Astyanax mexicanus: one gene and its partners. The protein of the gene in region 2 interacts with the protein of the main gene of each other region in a pairwise test. Links are inferred from orthologs where the notes say so. Each region holds a gene or a part of one and is shown on either strand. Other genes may lie near its edges. The genes, in order: kctd9a, ehhadh and actb1.

Region 1 (8,155 bases), on a different chromosome or scaffold from region 2:
GGATGACTGGCTATTTACAGATAAACATAGCACCTAGTCTTATTCTAAAGCCGTTTAGGTTGGAGCTCCTGCACTGGAGAGAAGTCACTTCTACTGCTCCACATGTTAATGCTGCAGGTACTTGCATTATGAAATATATACAGTTTTCTATGGTAATTAAATAAGATTTACAGGCACAACAAAAAGGCTGTGTCTGTAATTGGTGACTGAACTCACTTCTTAAAAGGAGTCTGAATGCTTTTAACACTTAAAACTTAACCCTCTTATTACCTATGGGCTCAATCTGACCCCGTTCAATGTTTAATGGTTGACTTTAGTTTCGTGATTAATATTTATCGTCTTTTCTTAATTTGACAAAGGCAATACATAAAAAATAAAGTGTTTCAATTTTTTTTATTTCAATATATGTTTTATTAAAGCTATTTATTTGCATAAAACATAAGAAATATCAATATTTTACACATATTTGTGTGGTAATAATGTCAAGGTCACAGTAACATTCAGTTTTATAATCTTCCTCTAAATGTAGTCTAACTTAAGGTCCAAACTCAACAAAACAATACTTAAAATACTTATATAATACTAATTTATATATATACTTATATAATACTAACATTATATTAATGCTAGAACATCTGGTAATTCATCAGCTAAACATAAAGAATGGGTGAATAAACTTTTGTAACATGTTTATTCAAATTTAATCATAATTTTAAATGGCTGGGTATTGACCCAGAGAATTAAGAGTGTTAGTAAATATGAGGAAAGCAGGAGGGTTAAAAATGATGAGTTTCTTTGATTTTACCAAATTGAAAAGCTCTGGAATATAATTAAGAAGAAGATGGATGATCACAAGCCATCAAACCAAGCTAAACTGTTTGAAGTTGCCAGGAGTGGCATAAATTTATCCAAAAGCAGTGTGTAAGACTGGTGGAGGAGAACATGCCAAGATGCATGGAAACTGTGATTAAAAAACAGGGTTATTCCACCAAATAGTGATTAAAAACAGGGTTGTTCCACCAAATATTGATTTCTGAACACTTTAAAACTTTATGAGTTAGAACTTGTCTTCTTTGTTTGTTAAAATGGCTGCAATGTCATGTAGGCTAATTTTGACAGATAAGACTTACAGCTCTCAGGAAACTGGGACCTACCTGTAAACTTCAGTAAGATTTATGGCCTGTTTAAAATAGCAGCCAATGCCTTACTGGATGTGCCCAGATTACACTAGTTAAATAAGCAAAGATGATCCGTTGTCCTCATTTCTTTAACACCATGTTACTAAAATATCTAAATTGTGAGGCTGCAGTAAAGTGTTTTCCTTTTCTGCCATCTAGTGGAGAAGAGGCTCTTTTCAGTGCAGTGCTAAATAAAATCATAAAAACATAAAAACTTGTATGTTTTCTTGTACATATAATAAACACAAGAAAAAAGTGCCAAACCTAGTTTGCCTGACTGCCACTGGCTACACAGAACTGTCAGTGTTTTTTTTAACAATAGGGAAACTGTTTGTTTTAAATTAAGATGCCAACAAAATATAACTTTTATGTTTCATGTCAAGTCAAGTCAAGAGGCTTTTATTGTCATTACATCTGAGTACAGGTACACAGTGTGATGAAATTACGTTCCTCCGGAACCATGGTGCAACATAGAACAACAAGCAATAGACAACATAAAATGCAGGAGTGACGACAGTGCAACATAAAATTATAAAATTATAACACTAAATAACAATAAATACAAAAGACGAGACAATTTAAAGACAGGACAGTGCAGTACCGATACGGTATAATAAAGTGTATAGTGGGGATAAGGTGCAGAGATGTGTGACATACTGTAACATATAGAACATATATAATCACAGCAGTTACTGAGGTAGAGTTTATAGTTTTTAAGAGTGCAGCAAATAAAGTCATGTCAGCCTCTGTGTGCTGACTGGGTGTGTGTGTGGGTGAAGTTCAGTTCTTTGTGAGTGTAAAGGGAGGGGGGGGGGGGGGTGTACAGTTTAGTTTTGTGTAAAGGGGGGGGGGGGGGGTTGTACAGTTTCATTCAACCCTGCTTGGTAAAGGCTCCAAGCATTGCTTTCGCTTTACAATGCAGATCAGGGTTGAAGGTAGGGGTGGGAATCACAGGGTGCATCATGATACGATATTACCAAAATAACAATGGTTTTAAGATACTGTGGTTCTGTGCTAATTCTCTCTGAAACTTCAAGCTGTGTTACTCATTAGAATAAAATACTCCTGAATATGCAAATACCAGGAATTATGTATTTACATAGATAGATACTTTATTTATCCCGAAGGAAATTTAGGCATCCAGCAGCAACAACACAATACAATAAGAAACATACTCAGCCAAATCAAAACACAGAAGAATAGAAAATATATAAGGCTATAAAAACTATAACAAACAAAAAAACCTAACTATACATGCGTCAGTTTCAAAGTTTTATACAATTTGACAACTAATATTCTTCCCTGCAGGTTTACCTAAAGGTGGAGTATGTAGTTAACTGCTGCAGCAGCACACAGAAGAGCGGAGGGAGAGGGGAGGGTTTAGTGTGGATGTGAGTGACTATAACTACTATTTTTAAGTCTATACTAGCTATATTCTCTACTAGTATATGTATGTTTAGACAGACTAGCTATGGTGTCCCTGCTGTACTGTTATTACTGTTCTGCTTCCTACAGTGAATTTAAGCTATTTTAGCAAACCTTCCCACAGCTCCAGAAACGCCACGCTGAGGTAATTATTTCCCTTTGCAAATTCCTCATGAGTGAAGCTACACCACAATTGTGTCTGATTGGCTGGTCTCGCGAGCCGACACGTGTAGCTCTGTCCTGTGATTGGTCTGTTCGCAAGGCTAGTAACAATAGCGTCACTCTGATTGGACGGCGACTGGGTGAGCTGGGCTCTGGCTTCACTGTGTGAATCTGGTTTAGCCTGTTACTGAGTAACTGTGGGATGAGTTCGCTGTAGAAATCGGTCTAGTTTTGTTTATTAAACTCAATATTGTACATAATTATAGCTTAAACAAATAATGCGAAGAGTCACGCTTTTTGTCAACGGCTCCTCCAAAAATGGAAAGGTGAGGATTGAAGAGTTCGTTACAGTGATGTTGAATGACTTTTGTGTAAAGGTGCAAAATCCAAGTTCAGAAAGTAAAAATCCTCTCCGGGATTTTGTTCTCAATGTCTTGGCGGATCGGCTGCGGCTCAAATCCCGGAGCGGATTTTTACTTTCTGAGTCCGCTGGCTCAACTAACTTAGCTAGCGCTAGCTAGCATGTATGGCTAGTCTTAGATAGAGGAAATCATGTTAACAGTGTTGTGTTTAGCTGGTATTTGTGTAAATAATGATAATCATGACCCGTGTTGGTGTGAAACTTGTGTTTATTTTGTAATTATAGCTATATTGTGTATTAATTTAACATAGCTAAGCTTAAGACTATAACGTTACATAGCATCTAATGGTCAGGCCCATCTAAGATAGCTTAGCTAACTAGTTGGGTAGCTACAGCTCTGAAAAAAAAAAATTAAGAGAGCACTTTATTTTCTGAATCAGTTTACCTGATTTTGCTATTTATAGGTATATGTTTGAGTAAAATGAGCATTATTGTTTTATTCTATAAACTACGGACAACATTTTAGTCAAAATTTTTCCCAAATTCCAAATAAAAAATATTGTCATTTAGAGGATTTATTCGCAGAAAAAGAGAAATGGCTGAAATGACAACAAAAAAGATGCAGAGCTTTCAGACCTCAAATACTGCAAAGAAAACAGCTTTATATTCGTAAAGTTTTAAGTGTTCAAGAAATCAATATTTGGTGGGATAACCCTGGTTTTTAATCACAGTTTTCATGCATCTTGGCATGTTCTCCTCCACCAGTCTTGCACACTGCTTTTGGATAACTTTACGTCACTCCTTGTGCAAAAATTCAGTTCAGCTTTTTTTTTTATGGCATTCATCATTCATCTTTCTCTTGATTATGTTCCAGAGGTTTTCAAAGAAACAAAATTTATTTAAGTGCTTTTATTTTTTTTCCAGATCTGTATACTTATTACCCAGCTAGCTAGCTAACTAACTACTAACCAACCAGTAACGTGTAAAGTTTATTTATCATTAGTTTTTTATAGCAATATGAGTACTACTATCTATAATTTCCCACATATATATTGATATTATGTCCCTGAAATGTCATATTATAACTTTACAACACTGATTGAAAGAAGGTCTGACTGCATAATATTGTCCTGAATAGGAGAAAATGTTAATTAAAACCGTTAATATATTTCATTGGATATGGAAGCACCTGTACATATTTCATTGTCGTTTCTTTAAGATATTTATTTAAATTATGAATATGAGTATGAAACATGTCATTACTTTATAGTGACCGTATCAATTATATTCTTATTATATTGTATATATAAATTCTTCCCCCTCATTTTATTTAATGAAGGCTTGTATTGTGAAAATATATTTTAAAGTTAACTGATTATTTTTTGTAAACCACCACCAAAAAAAAAAAAAAAAACTTTCTCAGAGGTAAGTTGGTGACCACTTGGTGTTTGTGTAGTCTTGTAGTGTAAACTGCTACAGCCAAAGGGATCATGTAGAAACAGAAAACCACGGCTCCAAAACAAACCTTCTGCATGGCCAGAGCTGTTTATGCAGAGTCTGACCACTTTCCCAATATTTCCCCAATATATCAGAAAGTTACTGTTCAACGCTAGAGGAAACTCAATGGGGGTGGAAAAAAGTCAAAAACTAAAATTATATGTAATAACTACTTGTTCTGAGTTTTATTTAATGTTATAAGCAAAAAAAAGTGTACCTGTATATTTCCATTGTTCGACAGCAAACAGGTTTAAGCAGTAAAGAATCTAGCGTACTGTGTTGAGATTTTCAGATATTTATAAATTCTGATTTTGCTCAGTTGCTTCATATGAACCTGTTCATCTTGGACTCACTTCAAGTGGGTATTCTCCTCTCTAGAGATTCTCTGGCATTGCTACTTTACACGTGGGTTTAGTTCTGGCATGTTCCTATGATTCTTTGCTCACTAAACTGCAGTGTGAAACCAAATCTAGCTGGACCAAATGTACACAATGTAACAAAGACCCAAGTCTTGGTGCAGACATTAAAGTGTAAAAACACCTTTAGTGAGCTGGATAATTTCAGTTCACATCAGTTTGAACCAACATTAGTTTGTTTCAGTAATCCTGACCTCTGCTTTTTTTTGTCTTGTAGGTTGTAGCAGTATATGGCACTCTGTCGGATCTCTTATCCGTTGCCAGCAATAAACTGGGAATCAGGGCTAGTAATCTGTACAATGGCAAGGGAGGCCTCATTGATGATATAGCCCTCATTAGGTAAGTTATGTTCCGATGGAGGTTCCTGGTACTGGTACTTATTGTTTGTCCTTAATCAACAAAGATTAATCATGTGTGACTCTCTGTTTTGCAGAGATGATGATGTGTTATATGTGTCTGAGGGAGACTCCTTTGTCGGTAAGTTGGTGTCATGATTAAGTTTGTCATTTCCTCATATACCTGAAACCTCACATGGGAAACAATGAAAGTGTCCTCAGAGCACGTATACACTTGTTTGTGTTTGGGTGTGTTTCAGATCCTCAGACTGAGGAAAAGGCTGCAGAGGACTCTTCAAGCTGCCACACTGATTGGTTGACTTTAAATATTGGTGGGCGTCTCTTCACGACCACACGGCAAGTAGAGTTCTTTTAAGATGCTGGGTGATGTTTTAAGGGTTTATAACCGTGTTTGAATAGTTAAAAAACGGTTACAAGCTTCAATTATTTTTGTTTTAGCTGGACTAGCCATAAGTACTAATTTACAAATGTTTGTGGACACTCCTTTAACTTTGAGTCCTGTAGAGAAGCATTACCAATAGAATAGAACTCTGGAGTAGAACCTATTGATACCTGACCATTGCATAATGTCAGTCATGGCCTAGATTAGTATAAAGTCTACTAGCATTGAGCTGTGGAGCAGTAGAAGAACTGTGCTCTCTAGAATGATGAGACTCCATTAGTGCTTGGTGGTATGACCAAAAATGCATATCATGGTATTTTGCAAGATTCTGGCGGTTTCACTGTATATCACTGTATTTTTATTATTATTTATTAATAGTTTATTTATTATGAACCGTCAGTATGTAACCTAAATAAAATCTGCAATAGTAGATTGAAATCTGGACCAAGTGAAATACACAGTTTTTCATCAAATAAATGGTTGAATCAACCATTTATGTTCAAGATATCCAATGAGGTTTTTGGTTTCTCCAGTTAAAAAAAACAAAACATATAAATGTATAATATACATGTATGAAAACTGCATTGCTAATAAAATCCATTATTATTTTTCTCCCTTTAGGAGCACTCTTGTGAGTAAGGAGCCGGACAGCATGCTGGCTCATATGTTTAGAGAAAAGGGTGAGCATTTTATAACACAACGATTCAGATATATTCGTCCATTGCAGACAGTATTAAATTATTCATGAAATATTAAAATTTCTCTCTCTGCTGTATTCCAGATGTGTGGGGCAACAAGCAAGATGAGCGAGGTGCCTACCTCATTGACCGCAGTCCTGAGTACTTTGAGCCTATTCTAAACTACCTGCGACATGGTCAACTTATTGTCAATGAAGGAATCAACTTGCTGGGTTAGTGTGTGCATCATATCTCATTTGAGAATGACTAATATAAGCAATGCATCCTCTGAGCTGCTTTCCTTGTAGCTGGTTTTAATATTGTGGCTCAGGCTTGCCTAATTGTTACCCTAACAACATTAATCTGAGATTTTTGTATTACCATATTTTTCGCACTATAAGACGCACCTAAAATCCTTAAATTTTCCTAAAGAATCCGTCTCAACGTCAGTGCGTCTCATAATCCAGTGCGCCATATTTATGAATTTTAGCAGTCAGGTTGTAAGAAGCAGTAAAGCCACTCTACTGAAGTGCAGCGTAATACAGGAGTTTTAGTCTAGCTCTTCAGCATCGAGGCTGGATCAGATTTGTGTAGATTTACATCCACTGCTTAATAACTTCGTTAAGTAAATCACTTTATAATGGCGTCAGAGCCCTCTAAATCCTAAGGTGCCTACATTTCATTACCAGCTCACCACAATGATTGAATATTACAAGGTACTCATTTACCAAAGCTGGTATTTCTATGAACAAGAAATAATACTAGACTCATATAAGGAGTGCTTTGGAAATGTTTTAATGAACACAGTTTTGTATGAATTTGATTTATGTTTAGTCTGATATTATTGTTTTACTAAATAAATAGATAATTATTTCCAATATATTTTTTTCTAATATTCACATGTGACTAAGTGATAGATTTAAAGGTTACATGGAGGTTTACCCATTGGGCCATATGTAACATTGCCATTTCTGGCATTATGTGTCTACATTTTCCGGGTTTCAAAGAAACATTGTTAAAAAATGTAACTGTAGATGTAGTTTTCATCACTAATGACGGATTACAAACATAATTAGCAGTATGTCTTGCACTCATTCTCTCAGACAGATTGGCTATCAGCCAACATGGGGAAAGTGTAGAGATTTTCATTTTTGTAATAGTGCTTGTGTTTTTGTTTCATCTTATTCTTAATCTTCAGGCGTACTGGAAGAAGCTCGGTTCTTTGGAATTGAGCAACTTGCTGAACAGCTGGAAGTTGCAATTAAGGTAAAGAATTGTTCATTTTATGACTGTAAATCTTTTTTTTTTTTTTTTTTTTACCTGTTTATTGTGTCTAATTTGAGTTGTTCCATTTTTTGCAGAACTCTCATCCTCCTGAGGATCACTCTCCCATCTCCCGAAAAGAGTTTGTACGGTTTTTACTGGCCACGCCTACCAAGTCAGAACTGCGTTGTCAGGTACATTCATTCACACATGAACATTTTTGTAACGTGTTTGTAACAGTGTGTGATGTCTGAACAGAATGTTTTGGTGATCTCTGTTCTCTTTCTGTAATTGTCAGGGTCTGAATTTCAGTGGGGCGGACCTTTCTAGACTGGATCTGCGCTATATCAATTTCAAGATGGCTAACTTGAGCCGCTGTAATCTCACCTACGCAAACCTATGCTGCTCCAACCTGGAGAGGGCGGACCTTTCTGGGGC
Region 2 (8,155 bases):
AACACACACACACACACGTTTATAAGACCAGAAAAATTTGCATTTCTTTGAAGTCACAAAAATATATCTCTAAATATATCTCAGAGTTTTACCGATGAAGACGGAGAGGAAGAAGAGGGAGACGGGGATGTTGGCGATGGGGGAGCTCATGTTGAGGAACCAGTTTGGACTCATGGGGAAGAACCTCAGGAAGAGGAGGAAGAAGAACAGACTGCTGCGGTTCTCCTCCACCTAAACACACATACAAATGTCAATTAAAAAAAAAATCTTTCAGTAAAAAACAGCAATTTAAACATTACAAATAGCTTTTATATTTAACAAGGTGCAACAATAACCTCCATATATTTCAGTTAGGTAATCAGAAAAATTCAAAATATGAAATTCACTGCAAATAAAAATAGTTATTTTCAGGTTTCTGGCAGAAACAGCTTCTAGATGCACAGATATCTCCATTATTAACATTTAAAAGTACATTTAATGAATTAAAGACTACATTTCAGTAGGTTAAAAAAATCAGATTTTTCACAATGCTGTGTGAATACTGGAATCTAAGCGTATTCGATTATTTGCACTGTTCGATCCGTAAAAAAAACAAAAAGAAGGATGACCACTCAGAGCTCCACTGTCATGGTTGCAGACCCAAGACATGAACTTCAACACTGCAGCAGAACGGAAATAAAGAAAATATATGGCATTTCCTGTCCTGCTAACAAAACTGAGAAGACAAAAGATGAATCAGATTTGGTGTGAAGTTTCACTAAGTAAAAAAACACAATTTTATTCTGTGTAAAAACTCCTTTGGGTTGATTTCGAGAACATGGATTTAGGTTGTTTTTTATTAAACCATATTGAGTTAAAGTCTGGGTTTAGATTTTTTCTGGATAGTATGGAATTTGAGTCATAGTGTAAATAGCAGTTATATTATAATATTAGATTTTTTTTTTTTTTTTTTAGGTTTTTAATAAAATGGAAAAAAATACCCACTTTTCTCTGCAGCAGAGTAACTTTGACAGGGAAGAGCCGGACGATGTGCTGTTTTCCGAACGCCTGTGAGAGCAGGAAGCAGAGTGTGGCCCCTACAGTGGTCAGAACACAGGCCAGCAGCAGACCCAGCCAGGGTCCAAACAGCGCCCCCGCCAGGATATTCTGAACAACACAAAAACACACATTAAAAAACCTCAGAGCAGAGAGTTAGGGGGGTTATGAATACTTAAGAAGAATAGAAGCTTACCCAGTAAGAATTTGGGTCAGATTCCTCAGCTAGTCCTTACAGTGAAATACAGGCTCTACTGACAGAACTACTATTAAGGCTGCACATGATGACTGTTATTACTGATTAATATCGGTACCACTTTTAAAAAAAAGACTGCCTTTATAAAGGCTTTATAAATGGTTTACAATTAGTTTATTAATGGTTACTAATTAGTACTTTTAAAGTGGTACCTTAATATCTAAGGACTTTTTATAGGACAATTTTATAGTTTATAATTTTACTCATTGACAAAATTAGAGTAGAATGAAGCTTATATGTGTGAATGTAATAATGATGTATGTAAGTGAAATAAGGACTTGTTGAGTATCCTGTTAGTGTCTCTAGCCTGGGTACAAGATAAGATACAGTTGAGAATGGAGGTATGCAGGTCCTGTATGGCATCCTGCAGCACACAGATTTACCCACAGATGTTGCAGCTGGACCTGTAGATCCTGCTTTACTCTTGTAGGTTGCTGAATTTAGCATTCCCATTGCTAAGATACATTTGATGTGTGTGGGTCAGCATTATCCTGCTGGAAAATGCCAGTTGGAAGCTCTGCAGGATGTTGGGAAGAGGGGTGGGTAAACTGAACTATCGCTTTAATCGAGGGAGAGTGTGGGAGTGTGTGTGTGGTTCTTAGTGTAGTAGGGCAGTACCAGCAGGGAGGATCCGGGGATGGCGAAGGCCTGTTTGTAGATGTAGGCGCTGCAGAACAGCAGCAGAACATATCCACTGTGTTCCTGCTGATAGTGCCTCAGCAGAGCCGCCTGCTCCCGAAGCTCCTCTAGATCAGACGGGAACTTCAGCCTGGAACACACACACACAGGCATGCACGCACACACACACCGATAGTTATTATATGGATTATTATAGGAGATCTGTAGTCAATATGGCCTGTATTGAAATGTCAACAGTATAATATTCTGAATTATGCCCTAATGTACTAATATACACATGCCTAGTCATAAATCAAATTCATAATCCTAATGAAGCCATATTCGGAAAATAAAGTTTTTTTTTTTGAGGTGGTGGTTGAGGACGTTTATAATGACCTCCAGATTTAGCATGAGTATTGTTTTTTGACAAGACATGTTATGAGTTGAAAAAAAAGTTAGAATTCAACTAATTCATAATATTATATAAACAATATGATTCATATTTTTCATTTATTACAGCAGAAAATATTTAGCTTCATATATGGTACCCCAATGACTGGAATTGTCCTTTCCACCTTAAATAGTGTAGCACTTACACTGTAACAGCTGCAGCTGATCCAGCAGTTACACTGTGTATACGCTGCACCATTTAAGGTGGAACGGACAATTCCAATCATTGTGGCAGCATGTTAAGGCTACCGTTCCTACCCGGTTCCCGCTTCTGGTTCCCCATCACCCAGGTGAGCTGAGGGCAGGTGAGCGGACAGCAGGTACAGGTAAACGGAGGACAGCAGCAGAACCAGACCCAAACCCAGCACAGACCGCATGTCGGAACCACAGCAGCAGCAGCGGAGAGACCACAACAGCGGAGGGACCGTGGGAGGGTCACGTGGTTCTCAGGAGCCAACCAGATTCCAGTATTCTGCTGTGGCGGCCGCGTCCCAATTTGATCACGTTCACTTCCTGCCTTATTGTTATGAAATACATATAGACGTGTATTAAAAACCAAAGCTGCAACAACACAAATACGAGTATTAACTAAACGAATGCTTTAGTACTAATAATCCTATTAACTTTATACTTTATTCCATTATATATTTGATTTCTAATTAGAAAAAATAATTTCACTAATTAAAATAAGTGTTTAAATAATAATAAAAAAGAAAACCAGTTGTGGAATTAATGTTAACAAAAGCTTAAAATGCCAAGAAATAATACAACAATATAAAACAAATACATACATAAACCTATATCAAACATTACTTCTAAGTTAAACACACACAAAAAAATCAGGTTAAGCACTTGTTCCAAATCATGTATTTAACTTAACAAATATATACACTAAATATTCTCTTTAAATGATGGTGGTATATTGGTATTTTATTGTTAAATAATAATTATATAAACGTGCATTTTCCATAGCTATCATGCACCATCCACCTAATTTGACATTATTTTAATTTTATTTTAATTTAATTTGTTTGATTTTTTAATTCATTTTTAATAATAATTTATTTATTATAAAAATATACACTTTTTTCATTTTCTCTGCGGTGCTGTCCTTGTTTCACCTGTTTATTGTCTTATTAATTGTAAATTTAATATTTTATTTTTGTATTTGCTTTTTTTTGTTTACCTTTTTATTATTATATTTTGATTATTTTAAATTATTTATTTTTTATTGGTTCTGATCTGTGCACTATTATAATTATATAGGTGTATATTATGTCATTCTTTATGCAATTTAATGCAATTACTTAACTTTTATTTATTTAATTTGTTCCAATGTGATTGTCACTTGTATAGGGTGTAGAGAGCAGGGAGCGATTTGGGACAGAGCCTCGGTTTGACAGCGCCAGTCTGTTTACCGTAATATGTGTATTAGCGACTCATTTATTATTTTCCTACAGTGGAAACAGCCCGATAATAAGAAGCTATTCTTAACTCTGCGGGTTTACCTGTGTTATTATGGCTTTCATGCGGCTCCGCCCCCTCCAGCCCTGCTGTTAAACTCCAACCAGCAGTTCCAGCATGACTGTGACTTTTGTTCCACTTTCCTGGATTAAAAACAGCCCTGAATATCAGTGACCTCAGGATCAAAGTCCTGCAGAAGTCCTGCAGAAGCTCCAGATCTTTATTCCAGCTCCATTCAGCTGAACTAGCTCCACTGTCTGAGCTGTATTGATCAGCTATGGCTCAATATGCAAGAACTAAGGGATCGATCGCATTGATCACTCTCACTAACCCACCTGTGAACGCCCTCAGGTGAGTCCTGCAGTCATGCAGACTTAACTCTAGTCTGGGACTCTGTTCACCTGTAAGATTGCAAGTTTTGCATTTACTGTAATAATAGAAGATGTACTACATTGATATAAATAATAGTGCACATGCTGATTTAAGAATAAAAGTAATCAGTACTTTGCAGACAGTCTGTACCTGCACAGTTGTGTGCTCTCCTGCAACTGACCACAATTTGTAGATTTTTAAGATGGTCTAAGCTCGTCTTTCAGGTGAAAACACGCCATATACTTGATGAAAATAGTATATAAGTTAGCATTTGATTTTGGTAATGCTGGTAGCCATGGTGGTTAATCTGCTTGGTCAGGTGGACCAGTTATAATAACCCTCAAAGTAATGCTGTGCGATATGTCGATAAATATCGTGGGAATGATAGAAAAGTGTCTATCATGCTACTTACCTTCTATCAGCCCTATCGTTTCTACAGTAATTTAATCAATTATTCATGCAAATATATAAAGTAGGCTACGATGAAATGTATTGGCTTGGTCACGTTGCATAAACTCGGTTTATATAAGTGATAATTGAATAATCTTTGCAAAAAAGCTTCATAATGTGGTTTTGCAACATGACGCTGCTTTACGTTATTTGACAGACACTTTAAAAATGGTAATTGAGTTTATTTTGATAGCTCAATTTAAATACCTGTATAATAAAAGAAAACAGCTACTGCATCTACCTCATCTGTTTTCATTTGATACATATATATTGCTGCACTAAAAGGTAGTAATTCTCATTTGTGAAAGTTTGATTTATTGTCACGTTGAAATAAAGTTGGAAAAAAGGAAGCAATGATGTTATTTTGTCATATTTTTCGAAGAATAACTGAAAACATACTTAAATGTGGTATATCATGATATATATCGTTATCGTGATATAAACAATTCAATATCGTGATATATGATTTTTCCCATATCGCCCAGCACTACCTCAAAGTGGCCATACGATATGTTTTAAATCATATTGCGATACTATAAACAGCGATAATATATTGCTTAAATGTATTGTTTAAATAAAGTTCTTAAAAATATATTTTACAGTGTAATAAACACAATATCATACAGTATTTATAAAATCTGATTTAAAGAAAAGTTTACTTTTTATCCAATCAGAACAGTGGAATCTAACAAGAGAGTGGTGAAAATTACATTATAGAATTATCGTACAATTAATGGACACGACCTCAATAATATTTAATAATCACTACACATCAATAACAGTGAACAGTGTTTTAGACAGTCATGCAGTGACCAGTGCTTCAGTAACTGTGACTCCATGCACACAGTGTATAAAATCCATGTTCTCATATATTTGAGCTGATTAGAGAGGTGTAAAATGTTAATATGTGAATGTTTTTCTCTCTGTATCTCATGGTTTTAGCTCTGCAGTGAGGAAGGGCATCACTGAGACTGTTTCCAGAGCGCTCAACGACACACAGGTGAAGGCTGTGGTGCTGTGTGGGGAAAATGGACAATTCTGTGGAGGTAAACACACTCAAACACACCCATAATACCAGCACACACAAAGAACTCACAAATGGTACACATAGAGTACTCACATAGTACACATGTGGTACAGACAATACTTATTAAGAGTACATTACATAGTACTTATGTAGCACACATATAGTTCATACAGTATATGTACTTGCAGAGTTAATATATAATACTGATATAGTACACATCAAACCAAGCTGAACTGCTTGAATATTTGCACCAGGAGTAAAGCAGCATAAAGTTATCCAAAAGCAGTGTGTAAGACTGGTGGAGAACATGTCAAGATGCATGAAAACCGTGATTAAAAACCAGGGTTATTTTATATTTAAATGATGATTTCTTAACTCTTAAAACTTTATGAATATAAACATGTTTTCTTTGCATTATTTGAGGTTTGAAAGTTCTGCCTCTTGTATCTTATTGCAGACATTTCTCATTTTCTGCAAATAAATGCTCTAAATGACACTATTTTTATTTGGAATTTGGGAGAAATGTTGTCTGTAGTTTATAGAATAAGACAACAATGTTCATTTTACTTAAACATAAACCTATAAATGCATACAATACACCTATAGTTCATGTATATTCATATATTACACATGATACTACCATAGTACACATAATACTCCTAAAAAGCAGTGTAATACTTATTTAGTATACATAATACTTAAAGTATATACTTACTCAAATAGTATGTATAACAATATTTATAGTACTCCTAAAAAACTCCTGTAGTACCCCAAAAAACAAAAAATAGTTCATATAGTACATAACTTCATATACTACGCATATTTGTCTTAAAGTATACTATACACAATGTAGTACACAAATAATATTTATAGTACCTATATAATAGTATGCATAATAAACGTATATAACACATATACTGTACTTGTATATTTGAAAAACAATATTCATATAGTTTTCACATATTAGGTTAATGTACTGAGACGTGGTGCTGTGTGTGTGCTGTTAAACAGGAGCAGATATTAAGGAGTTTGCTAAGCCCATGTCTGGACCGGCGCTGGTGCCCATGATCCACGCTATAGAGGCGGGGGAGAAGCCGGTGGTGGCGGCTATAGAGGGCATAGCGCTCGGAGGGGGGCTGGAGCTGGCACTGGGCTGCCATTACCGTGTGGCTCACGCCAAGGTAAACTACTGATACCTGATGATGATGAAATATGTATATATGGATGGAGACATTAGGCCTGTCACAATTATCACATTATTGATTTATTGTACGATATATTAACCTGACCTTTATCATTTTACCCATCCTTTTATTATAAACCCCATCCCAGCCCACCTTTCACCTACTGTAGTAACTGGTGTGAATGTAAACATAAACAAAAATATATTTGAGTTTGTTGAGTGTAGAGAGGAGTGAGAGTGTGGAGAGAGGTGTGAGAGTGTGCAGAGAGGAGTGAGAGTGTGTGTAAAATGGAGTGAGGGAGAGTGTAGTGAAAGAGTGTGTTGTGTGTGAGAATGTAGAGTGTAAAAAGGAAGTATAAAGAGGAGTGATAGAGAGTGTGTAGTGGAGTAAGAGTGTATAATAGTTAGAGCAAGAGAGTGTATAGTGGAGTGTAGAGAAGAGTGAGAGAGAGTATATAGAGTGTATAAAGGAGTGGGAGAGAGTGTGTAGAGTGTATAAAGAGTAAGTGAGTGTACAGAGGCGTGAAAGAGAGTGTTTAGAGTGGGTAGTGGAGAGAGTGAGTGTGTAGAGTGTATAGAGGAGTGAGTGTGTAGAGTGTATAGAGGAGTGAGTGTGTAGAGTGTATAGAGGAGTGAGTGTTTAGAGTGTATAGTAGAGTAAGAGAGTGTGTAGAGTGTGGTGAGAGTGTAGAGTGGAGTAAGTGTATAGAGGAGTGAAAGAGAGTGAGTGTGTAGAGTGTATGGTGGAGAGAGTGAGTGTGTAGAGTGTATAGAGGAGTGAAAGAGAGTGTGTAGAGTGTATGGTGGAGAGAGTGAGTGTGTAGAGTATATAGAGGAGTGAAAGAGAGTGTGTAGAGTGTATGGTGGAGAGAGTGAGTGTGTAGAGTATATAGAGGAGTGAAAGAGAGTGTGTAGAGTGTGTAGTGGAGAGAGTGAGTGTGTAGAGTATATAGAGGAGTGAAAGAGAGTGTGTAGTGGAGAGAGTGAGTGTGTAGAGTATATAGAGGAGTGAAAGAGAGTGTGTAGAGTGTGTAGTGGAGAGAGTGAGTGTGTAGAGTGTATAGAGGAGTGAAAGAGAGTGTGTAGAGTGTGTAGTGGAGAGAGTGAGTGTGTAGAGTGTATAGAGGAGTGAAAGAGAGTGTGTAGAGTGTATGGTGGAGAGAGTGAGTGTGTAGAGTATATAGAGGAGTGAAAGAGAGTGTGTAGAGTGGGTAGTGGAGAGAGTGAGTGTGTAGAGTATATAGAGGAGTGAAAGAGTGTATAGTAAAATGAGTGTGAGTGTACAGAGTGAACTGTGGCC
Region 3 (8,155 bases), on a different chromosome or scaffold from region 2:
AAAGGCAAGTAAACCAGGACTTAAAAGTAAATTTTCTGATAAAAAGAGCTACGTACTTCTACTTCAACATGCACTGCTTTTTTCAGGCCAAGCTGTTTATGTTTAAAACTTAAGCATTACAAATCAATTGATTCATTTAAGGGATATCAGGGGGATAAGAACCCTTTCATGTGAGATGGTATACTAGCTTGTTGGGAACAAGTGTTCATGATAAACATTTCATATTGGGCAAATATGTAGAGCACAGAATGTGTGATAATAGTGGAAATGGAATTTGAACACAGCTGTAAATAGTAAATGATAGCTAAAATTTAACAAGCCAGAGTAGAGATTTGTTTCTGCTGTAATTATATAATACAGAAGCCAGCTATGACCACAGCTTCAATACCATTAGTTTAATTAACCATGCAGCAAGATAAACATTGTGATTGAGGGGGAAAAAAATAAAGAAAGCACTCTGTTGTTGAGTTTTACATGTGCACATTTTATTGGGTTCAACATGTCAGTGTAGAGACTCCTAGGCTCACATGCCACAGGTGGTCCCCTTACCCACAAACCCCAGGGAAGTTCTCCTGCAAGATCTTCACTCAAATGGGTAAAGCTTTTCCCTTCCATTGCATAACAAACAGAACTGGAACGAGTTTAAGGCTGAAGTACAAAAACAAAACCAGACATTGTAATAGAGTACTTAATTTACATAAGCAACACTAACAAGGTCATGTGTTCCCACTGTGACATGGGGCAAAGTGGTGGATGCTGTATTAAAACATGACACTATTTGGAATGACAAAGAAGAAATGTACATTGAGTCCTCTTGGGGAAAGCTCCTCCCCCGTAAGACACCACCCCCCTTTCCAGTTTGCTCATACCGAGGCAGCACGCCATACGGAGCAGAAGCCATGCCCATGTTGTCTTGTCTGAGAGGGGAAGGTTGGTCGTTCTTTTAGGATCAGCCAGCCACATGGCTGGCTGAGGTGGTTTAGTCCCATTTAGAAGCACTTCCTGTGGACAATGGAAGGGCCAGACTCATCATACTCCTGCTTGCTGATCCACATCTGCTGGAAGGTGGACAGGGAGGCCAAGATGGAGCCACCGATCCATACAGAGTATTTACGCTCAGGAGGAGCAATGATCTACAGAAGAGGGGGGAGAAAGAAAATTAGACATGCACTGAAAGATTGATAACCTGTACCAGGTGGTTTCTCAACACTAATGCAATTAATTACCTTAATCTTCATAGTTGAGGGTGCAAGGGAGGTGATCTCCTTCTGCATACGGTCAGCAATGCCAGGGTACATGGTGGTACCACCAGACAGCACTGTGTTGGCATACAGGTCCTTACGGATGTCAACGTCACACTTCATGATTGAGTTGAAGGTGGTCTCGTGGATACCGCAGGATTCCATTCCTATCATGCAGAGAAACAAGTTTCCATTAAAACCCTTTTCTAATTTAAGTGTTTAAGGATTTTTTTTTTTTAATTTAACTGAGAACCATAAGACTTACCCAAGAAGGAAGGCTGGAAGAGGGCCTCAGGGCAGCGGAAACGCTCATTGCCAATGGTGATGACCTGACCATCAGGCAGCTCGTAGCTCTTCTCCAGAGAGGAAGATGAAGCAGCAGTGCCCATCTCCTGCTCGAAGTCCAGAGCCACATAGCACAATTTCTCCTTGATGTCACGGACAATTTCCCTCTCAGCTGTTGTGGTGAAGCTGTAACCACGCTCTGTCAGGATCTTCATCAGGTAGTCGGTCAGATCACGCCCAGCCAGATCCAGACGGAGAATGGCATGGGGGAGAGCATAACCTTCGTAGATGGGTACGGTGTGGGTAACACCATCACCGGAATCCATCACGATACCTGTGGTACGACCAGAAGCGTACAGTGACAGCACAGCCTGGATGGCGACGTACATGGCGGGTGTGTTGAAGGTCTCGAACATGATCTGTAATTTACAAAAACAGAAAAATTTAACTTACTGATCTGGCATCATAACGAGATTTTTAACCCTTCAAACTATGTATGCTGAGTTAAAAGGATTAGGAAGTAAATGTTTTAATGCAAAGGCTTAAGTGTCATTAGTACATAAAATCATGCAACAGATGTCCAGAAAAGAAATTAAGATAAAGACACTGCAATTCATGCAGTAAATCTCAAGCAGAGGGGGAAATAAAATTAACCTGTGACTTCTACATATGAAGGAAAATATGATCAGGTCAAAGAATGGAAAGCCTGAGAAGGAAGATACAGAAATGAAAATATGAACAGAAGAGAAACAGAAAGCCTACTATTTACCAATGATAGATCTAGCAAAAGGCATGCATACCTGTGTCATCTTTTCCCTGTTGGCTTTAGGGTTCAGGGGAGCCTCTGTGAGAAGGACTGGGTGCTCCTCTGGGGCAACACGCAGCTCATTGTAGAAGGTGTGGTGCCAGATCTTCTCCATGTCATCCCAGTTTGTGACAATACCGTGTTCAATGGGGTACTTCAGGGTGAGGATACCTCTCTTGCTCTGAGCCTCATCTCCCACATAGGAATCCTTCTGACCCATGCCTACCATGACACCCTAAGAGAGAAAAAAAAAAAAAAACACTTCTTAAAATTTGAAAAATTTAGCTTAAAAAAACCTTTGTAAACACCACATTGAAATTGGTCAAAATAAGATTGTTAAGGCACAACATACCTGATGCCTGGGTCGGCCAACAATGGAAGGGAAGACGGCACGAGGAGCATCATCTCCAGCGAAACCAGCTTTGCACATACCAGAGCCATTGTCAACAACCAGAGCAGCGATTTCCTCATCCATGGCTGTGTAAAAAAGGAGAAAAGGGGATTAAGAAACACACCTCCAGCAACTTAAACATGCTTAGATCACTGAAAGCTCAAACACTCTGAAGTAATGCTTATGGTTGGCCAGTAGGTGGCGCAAAGGCGCCATCCCTAAACCTAGTGATTTGAGACAAAGGAAGTGGCAGGGCAGACTCACTATTGCCTTATAAGGCAATAAGTTCGGCCTGCTCACCATTGCCGATTCAGCTTACAGAACGAGACCAGCACATCCAGGACCACTCCCCATTTCAACAACCTGATTGTTACACAATCCCAAACGTGAAATATGCCTCCTTCTCTAGTTAAAGCTAAAGCTTTTACTGCAATCAAGCATAACCTCAGTTTAGTTTAATCTTTAAGTATCAGATTAAACGTACATTAGGTTCCAAGACTACATAGTTTTATTTTATAGATTTATAAAACAAGAAAAAAGGGAAGATGCCTGGTCTGCACAATTTAATTCAGTTAAGTCAAATTAGAACTCAGCGTCCAATTAACACTTAAAAACCCTGGCCAGCTTTAAAAACTACACTGCCAAGTCCAAAAAAAAAAAAAAAAAAAAAAAAAAAAAAAAAAAGCTTTATCTTAACCCTCTATGGCATGGCAGCGATTTTCCTCAGGCAACAAACCACGTGATTTTACACCGTCCCTCAGTTTAATATGTAAAAAATATTTAAAGGCCTATTTTAAAGTCTTTTTTGGCTGTTGTTTCCTAACAGGAGAACATTATTCTCTCAAAACACAAGGCAATCATGCAGAATCAGTTGCTCCCAGAGGGTTTGATTAATAATAAAAAAAAAAATAAAAAAAAAAAAAGAAAAAAAAAGAGACCCACTAAAGTTACTAAAAAAAAAAGGAAGGGGCTGTTTTTTTTTCTCAACATATATAAATCATGTTTGAGGGTTAAGTTCCTTCATTCAAAGAAAAGGCTAGGAGATGCCGGCTTCCCCTCTGAAGGAGGTGGCCACACCCACCATTGAAACAGAACGGTGCTACACTAGAAGAACCAAGGCATGAAGTGACCCAGCTATCCTAGCCAACACTTCTGCTAAAGGACGAAAAGTTAAGCTAGCTAAACCTGTAATTATACATGATTTATTAAAGGACTTAGAAAATAGAAAGCAGTTATCTAGCTTAGCATTAGCTAATTAGGCTGACCAAAGTTGGCTTAATGCACTGAAGCTGCAGACTAACCCGAGGGGCTAACCTTAGCTAGCTAGCTTATACAAGCTAACGGTCAGCCACCTCGACACATCAGACAAAAGGGTTCGAGTTAACGCGAGGTAGTTAATTTACAAGCTTATAACGCTAATCTGTAACTTAATCCTTTAGATAGTCAGTTAACCAGCTAACTATACATAAAACGTTAGCTAGTCAAACAGCTTAATTTAAAATAACAGAACAAATTCATGAACAAGGCGTTACTCAAAGCTGGAGTTAGGTCAGCTAAGCCAGCTAGGCGTTCACATTCAAAGAAAGGTGATTCTCTAACATAATTTTACCACCTAAAAATGTACATAGTCGTCTAAATAAAATATACAAATAAGCTGTAGCAAGTTGTTACAACGTATTAGCCGGCAAACAAAAAGCTGCTTACCTGTGTTTTATCGGTTTGCAGGGAACCAAAAGGGGGAGAAACTGCTCCTGTCCGGGTGCACTGAAAACTCGGAGTAGCCTGTATAATGAGGGCTGAAGTTTTTATACCCGGCGCGGTGGCCGGCTCCTTCCATATATGGTAACGTTTCGGCTTCGAGCGATCTGATTGGCCAGCCGTCACCCAGTTGGCGTGTTTCAAGCTTATTGCTTGAAATTCAAGTTGTGAGATGCAGAAGTGCAGTGAGGAGAGGCATTATTAAATACACTGTGAAAAATAGCACGATTTGTGACAGAAGTAGGCGGTATATTTATGTTTATATGTATTAATAATAAATATATGATTTAGGTGACATGTTTTAGGCCAACTTTACACTAGAATACTTTAAAAAAGACATATGTTAAAGACCATGCCTTTTAACCTTAGCAAAGGCTGAAAAAATTTGCAGTCTCACTATTTAGCCATCTATCTATTTATATGACTGCAACTACAGAGCTGTGAGTGAAATGGACCATATATTACATTAAATCACTGAAATCAACATTACTATACATTTTTACTATATTACATGTTTAGAGAGCAACGTTTATGTTTATAATTGTTAGTTGGCCAACATTTTTATACTGTTAATGTTGCCAGCCTCAGGCCTAGGGGAACCTGGGGTATACATTATGCCATCCATATGTTTAATGTTAGTTATCTAATCTAGATATCACTTTTTTTTATTTTGTAATAGTAGCCACATAGCTGTCCAGTACCCACAGGAAATAAAAGTTAGTTAGTTAATATTCTTTATCATTGTAGACCCACAGTTACAAGAAGTTCACACATGTGTTTACTGTTTGTTTATCTTTAGCTAAAAGGTTCACTAATCTGAAAGTCCCATCAAAACATGCAGCTCGTCCAGCTAACCAGCTCATGCAGTGAAGCTCTTTTGGGTTATTTTGAGCTAAGCAGTGCTTTTCAGCCTTTCAGGCTCTATACAGTGCAACAAAGGCATTCACACAGGCCTGCCTGCAGCATTGTCTCTGATATGGGTCAGTTTGGGATTTGAAATACGTGGGCGTGGCTGCTTGCACTCATTTGCAAGAGGATAAGACCTGCTGTCTAATGCACAGTCCATACACACACACACACACACAAACACACAATTAATGCACTGCTGGTATCTTAATAATGTTTAGAAAAAATACATTATTATGCATTGGAGTGATGGCCAAGCAAGCATCAGCAATTATAAAGATCACAGAAGATTAGACCTTTCTATTAGCTATTATTTGAAAATTCTCAGTCCTTAGCCTTTTATAGTTAGTGGACATATTGTTACTGTTTTACTGGTGGGTGTGTCCACCTCCATAGCAAAGCCTGCCTTTTCTCCACATGGCTTTTTTGGGATGAATTTAAAATGCATTCATCTTATTGATATATTGCTTTAATTTAAAATGAGTACCAGGTCCTAAGAAATATAAAGTTCTATAAACCTTCTAAAGACATACGTGACCTAATAATGGTTTGCATTGCACTGCATTCAAACAAACACTAAGTAATGGAAACATTTAAACATTCCAAACATTATTAAAATTGATACTCAATCAAGCTAATATTACACTGTCATATACTATTTATTTGTAAATGGCATAATATATAATTTTCAAACCAAAGATATGTTCATTACGTGGGAGTCTGTCCCAGATGCCTTTAAGCTCAGCAATTTTTTTAAGTAAGTGGTTTATGTGAATGTAGTAACTCTGTATTGTAGTGCTTGACAAAGGTTTTCCAAAGTAACCCCTTGCTCATGTGGTTCTATCAGAAAAAAATGTAGAAAGACGATTATTTAACATTACCATTTTTACATTTTCTGTGCGCAAGAAAAAAGCACACATTTGAGCAGACTACTGTCGAATCAGCCACAGTAATACTTACCATATGAGTTTGTCCACAAGAGACGAAAAGGATTTTCAAGAGATGCTAGTCCAGACAATCCATGCCCTTAGGCTGGTCACATGATTCCAGCAGCCAATCAGCACTGCTTTTCAGTTGGCTGGGCCTCAGTGTGTGACCCCTGCTTTGCTATAGTGGATGTTTTTTTAGTGAGGTTCCTAACTGACCCATTATACACCAGTGATATAAAAGAGTTCAATAAAGCGTTCATATTAAATTACACTTTAAAAAATTAACAAAGCTTAACATGCTTTAATGGAGTAATTAGATGTCTTAAACTATTTGTCTTTGTGTAATACCACACAAGGCTTGGTGGTCGTGCTATGTGTGGAATGTCTGAATGCAGCCTGTTAAAAATTCAGCTTCTCAATCCTGATAAATGACATAGATAAGTGGCCATGCCCAAACATGACCAAAGCTCTGGACAGTCACTGGCTGGAAGCACTTTGTGAAGGAGACAATTTGTGGCAATCTTCCTTAATGCATTTTTAAGTGCGTTATCCTCTGAATGTATTATTTAAGAATTTCTGTTTTCTTTAGTTTTCTTTCCCTAGCAACTTTAAAATGAATAACCCATCATTAATTTATGCAACATGTTCTTTATTTATGTAGCACCAACATCATCCTTTTCAAACAGAGGGGGTTCTATATAGAATCAAATGTATTCTTTATTTTTATAATATTTATAACAGCAGTGGAAGTCCTTTTCTTGCTATATTTAGAACCACGCTAGTTTAAACAGTTATATAACAGGTTTCCCTTGTCTATAAGAAAACCCTTTTACCAGGCAAAAAACCCTTTAAATCATTCAGATTGTTCTTTTTCTTTATAAAACCACTGCCTTCAATAGAAAGCACGCAAAGAACCTTAAGGGTGGCATATGTAAGATAACAAAAAATAAGACTAAGTTAAGAAATAAAGCAGAAAAGTAATACAAAAAAGAAATATAACTAGAAAAGTGCATTTCAAAAGGAAGCATGGAATAGCTGTGCAGATAAAGTGGGATTACATGCAGGTATTTTTAAAGACGGTTGCTAAATGGTTGCTATGGTATTTCAAGCGGTTGCTATGGTCCTGCTAAATTGTTGCTATATGGTTGCTATTGTCCAAAATTTGAATGACTTTGTGTTATAAGTGTATTGCTTGTTGCTACATAGAAACTGCATATGTCATCAAAAAAGCTGTAAACAAGTTCAGGTCACACCATCAGGACGAATAATCTGGAGTTGGAACGGTGTCAATAAATGAAAACCACAGGATGAGAGTCACATGAAAATCTGGCAAAAAAAGAAAATAAGAATGAAAAACAGATTACTGTATACTTAAAAAGGAAATAAAGTTTTTATTTTGAATTCATCAATCCTTTATTTTTTTTTTTATTTTTTTTTTTTAAAGTACACTGAGATGTACTGAGATATCTTTTTTAAACTGATTAAAGTGAGTATTCTGTTACAGTTCTACCTTTTTTGGGTCAGTAAGACTTATTTAAAGAAACTGTTCTCAACCTTTAGAGTTTCGTTTCAAAGCAGAGGGTACAGAGCCTCTAACAGTGATGTTTAAAGGTCAGGAACATTTTTAGTGATCTAAAGAGCCCTTTTTTTTACTGTATACTGTATGTTTGGAGATGTCTGCCCAAGAAGACATTCCATGCCCTGAACCAAAACACGTTCTTGCGTGGCACGGTGACTCACAGGCTTAAAAAGAGCACTTCAGATTCCTACCTGGGAGGGAGTATCAGTAGTAATGATTGCGCGAGTCACAGAGATTACTGACTCACTCACTGCTCATGGC

The links.
Region 1: the proteins of ehhadh (region 2) and kctd9a interact in binary tests that used the Homo sapiens proteins (3 or more experiments, as listed by UniProt). The two-hybrid records come from large-scale screens. The link is inferred for Astyanax mexicanus from reciprocal best matches to the Homo sapiens genes EHHADH and KCTD9.
Region 3: the proteins of ehhadh (region 2) and actb1 interact in binary tests that used the Homo sapiens proteins (3 or more experiments, as listed by UniProt). The two-hybrid records come from large-scale screens. The link is inferred for Astyanax mexicanus from reciprocal best matches to the Homo sapiens genes EHHADH and ACTG1.

Annotation. Positions count from the first base shown.
Region 1 is NC_064419.1:25,584,782-25,592,936, forward strand, and holds the start of kctd9a (BTB/POZ domain-containing protein KCTD9a), read left to right. Parts: upstream 1-2,920; 5' UTR 2,921-3,043; coding exon 3,044-3,091; intron 3,092-5,256; coding exon 5,257-5,378; intron 5,379-5,472; coding exon 5,473-5,516; intron 5,517-5,634; coding exon 5,635-5,731; intron 5,732-6,398; coding exon 6,399-6,457; intron 6,458-6,558; coding exon 6,559-6,687; intron 6,688-7,652; coding exon 7,653-7,720; intron 7,721-7,815; coding exon 7,816-7,911; intron 7,912-8,015; coding exon 8,016-8,155. UniProt on the Homo sapiens protein: Substrate-specific adapter of a BCR (BTB-CUL3-RBX1) E3 ubiquitin-protein ligase complex, which mediates the ubiquitination of target proteins, leading to their degradation by the proteasome.
Region 2 is NC_064418.1:46,455,465-46,463,619, reverse strand, and holds the start of ehhadh (peroxisomal bifunctional enzyme), read left to right. Parts: upstream 1-3,905; 5' UTR 3,906-4,100; coding exon 4,101-4,174; intron 4,175-5,587; coding exon 5,588-5,691; intron 5,692-6,683; coding exon 6,684-6,853; intron 6,854-8,155. Other genes in the region: tmem41aa (transmembrane protein 41A-A), read right to left, coding at 93-231, 985-1,146, 1,910-2,060, 2,618-2,736. UniProt on the Homo sapiens protein: Peroxisomal trifunctional enzyme possessing 2-enoyl-CoA hydratase, 3-hydroxyacyl-CoA dehydrogenase, and delta 3, delta 2-enoyl-CoA isomerase activities. Catalyzes two of the four reactions of the long chain fatty acids peroxisomal beta-oxidation pathway.
Region 3 is NC_064428.1:16,852,135-16,860,289, reverse strand, and holds actb1 (actin, cytoplasmic 1), read right to left. Parts: upstream 4,569-8,155; 5' UTR 4,427-4,568; intron 2,809-4,426; 5' UTR 2,807-2,808; coding exon 2,684-2,806; intron 2,567-2,683; coding exon 2,327-2,566; intron 1,946-2,326; coding exon 1,507-1,945; intron 1,409-1,506; coding exon 1,227-1,408; intron 1,134-1,226; coding exon 990-1,133; 3' UTR 461-989; downstream 1-460. UniProt on the Homo sapiens protein: Actins are highly conserved proteins that are involved in various types of cell motility and are ubiquitously expressed in all eukaryotic cells.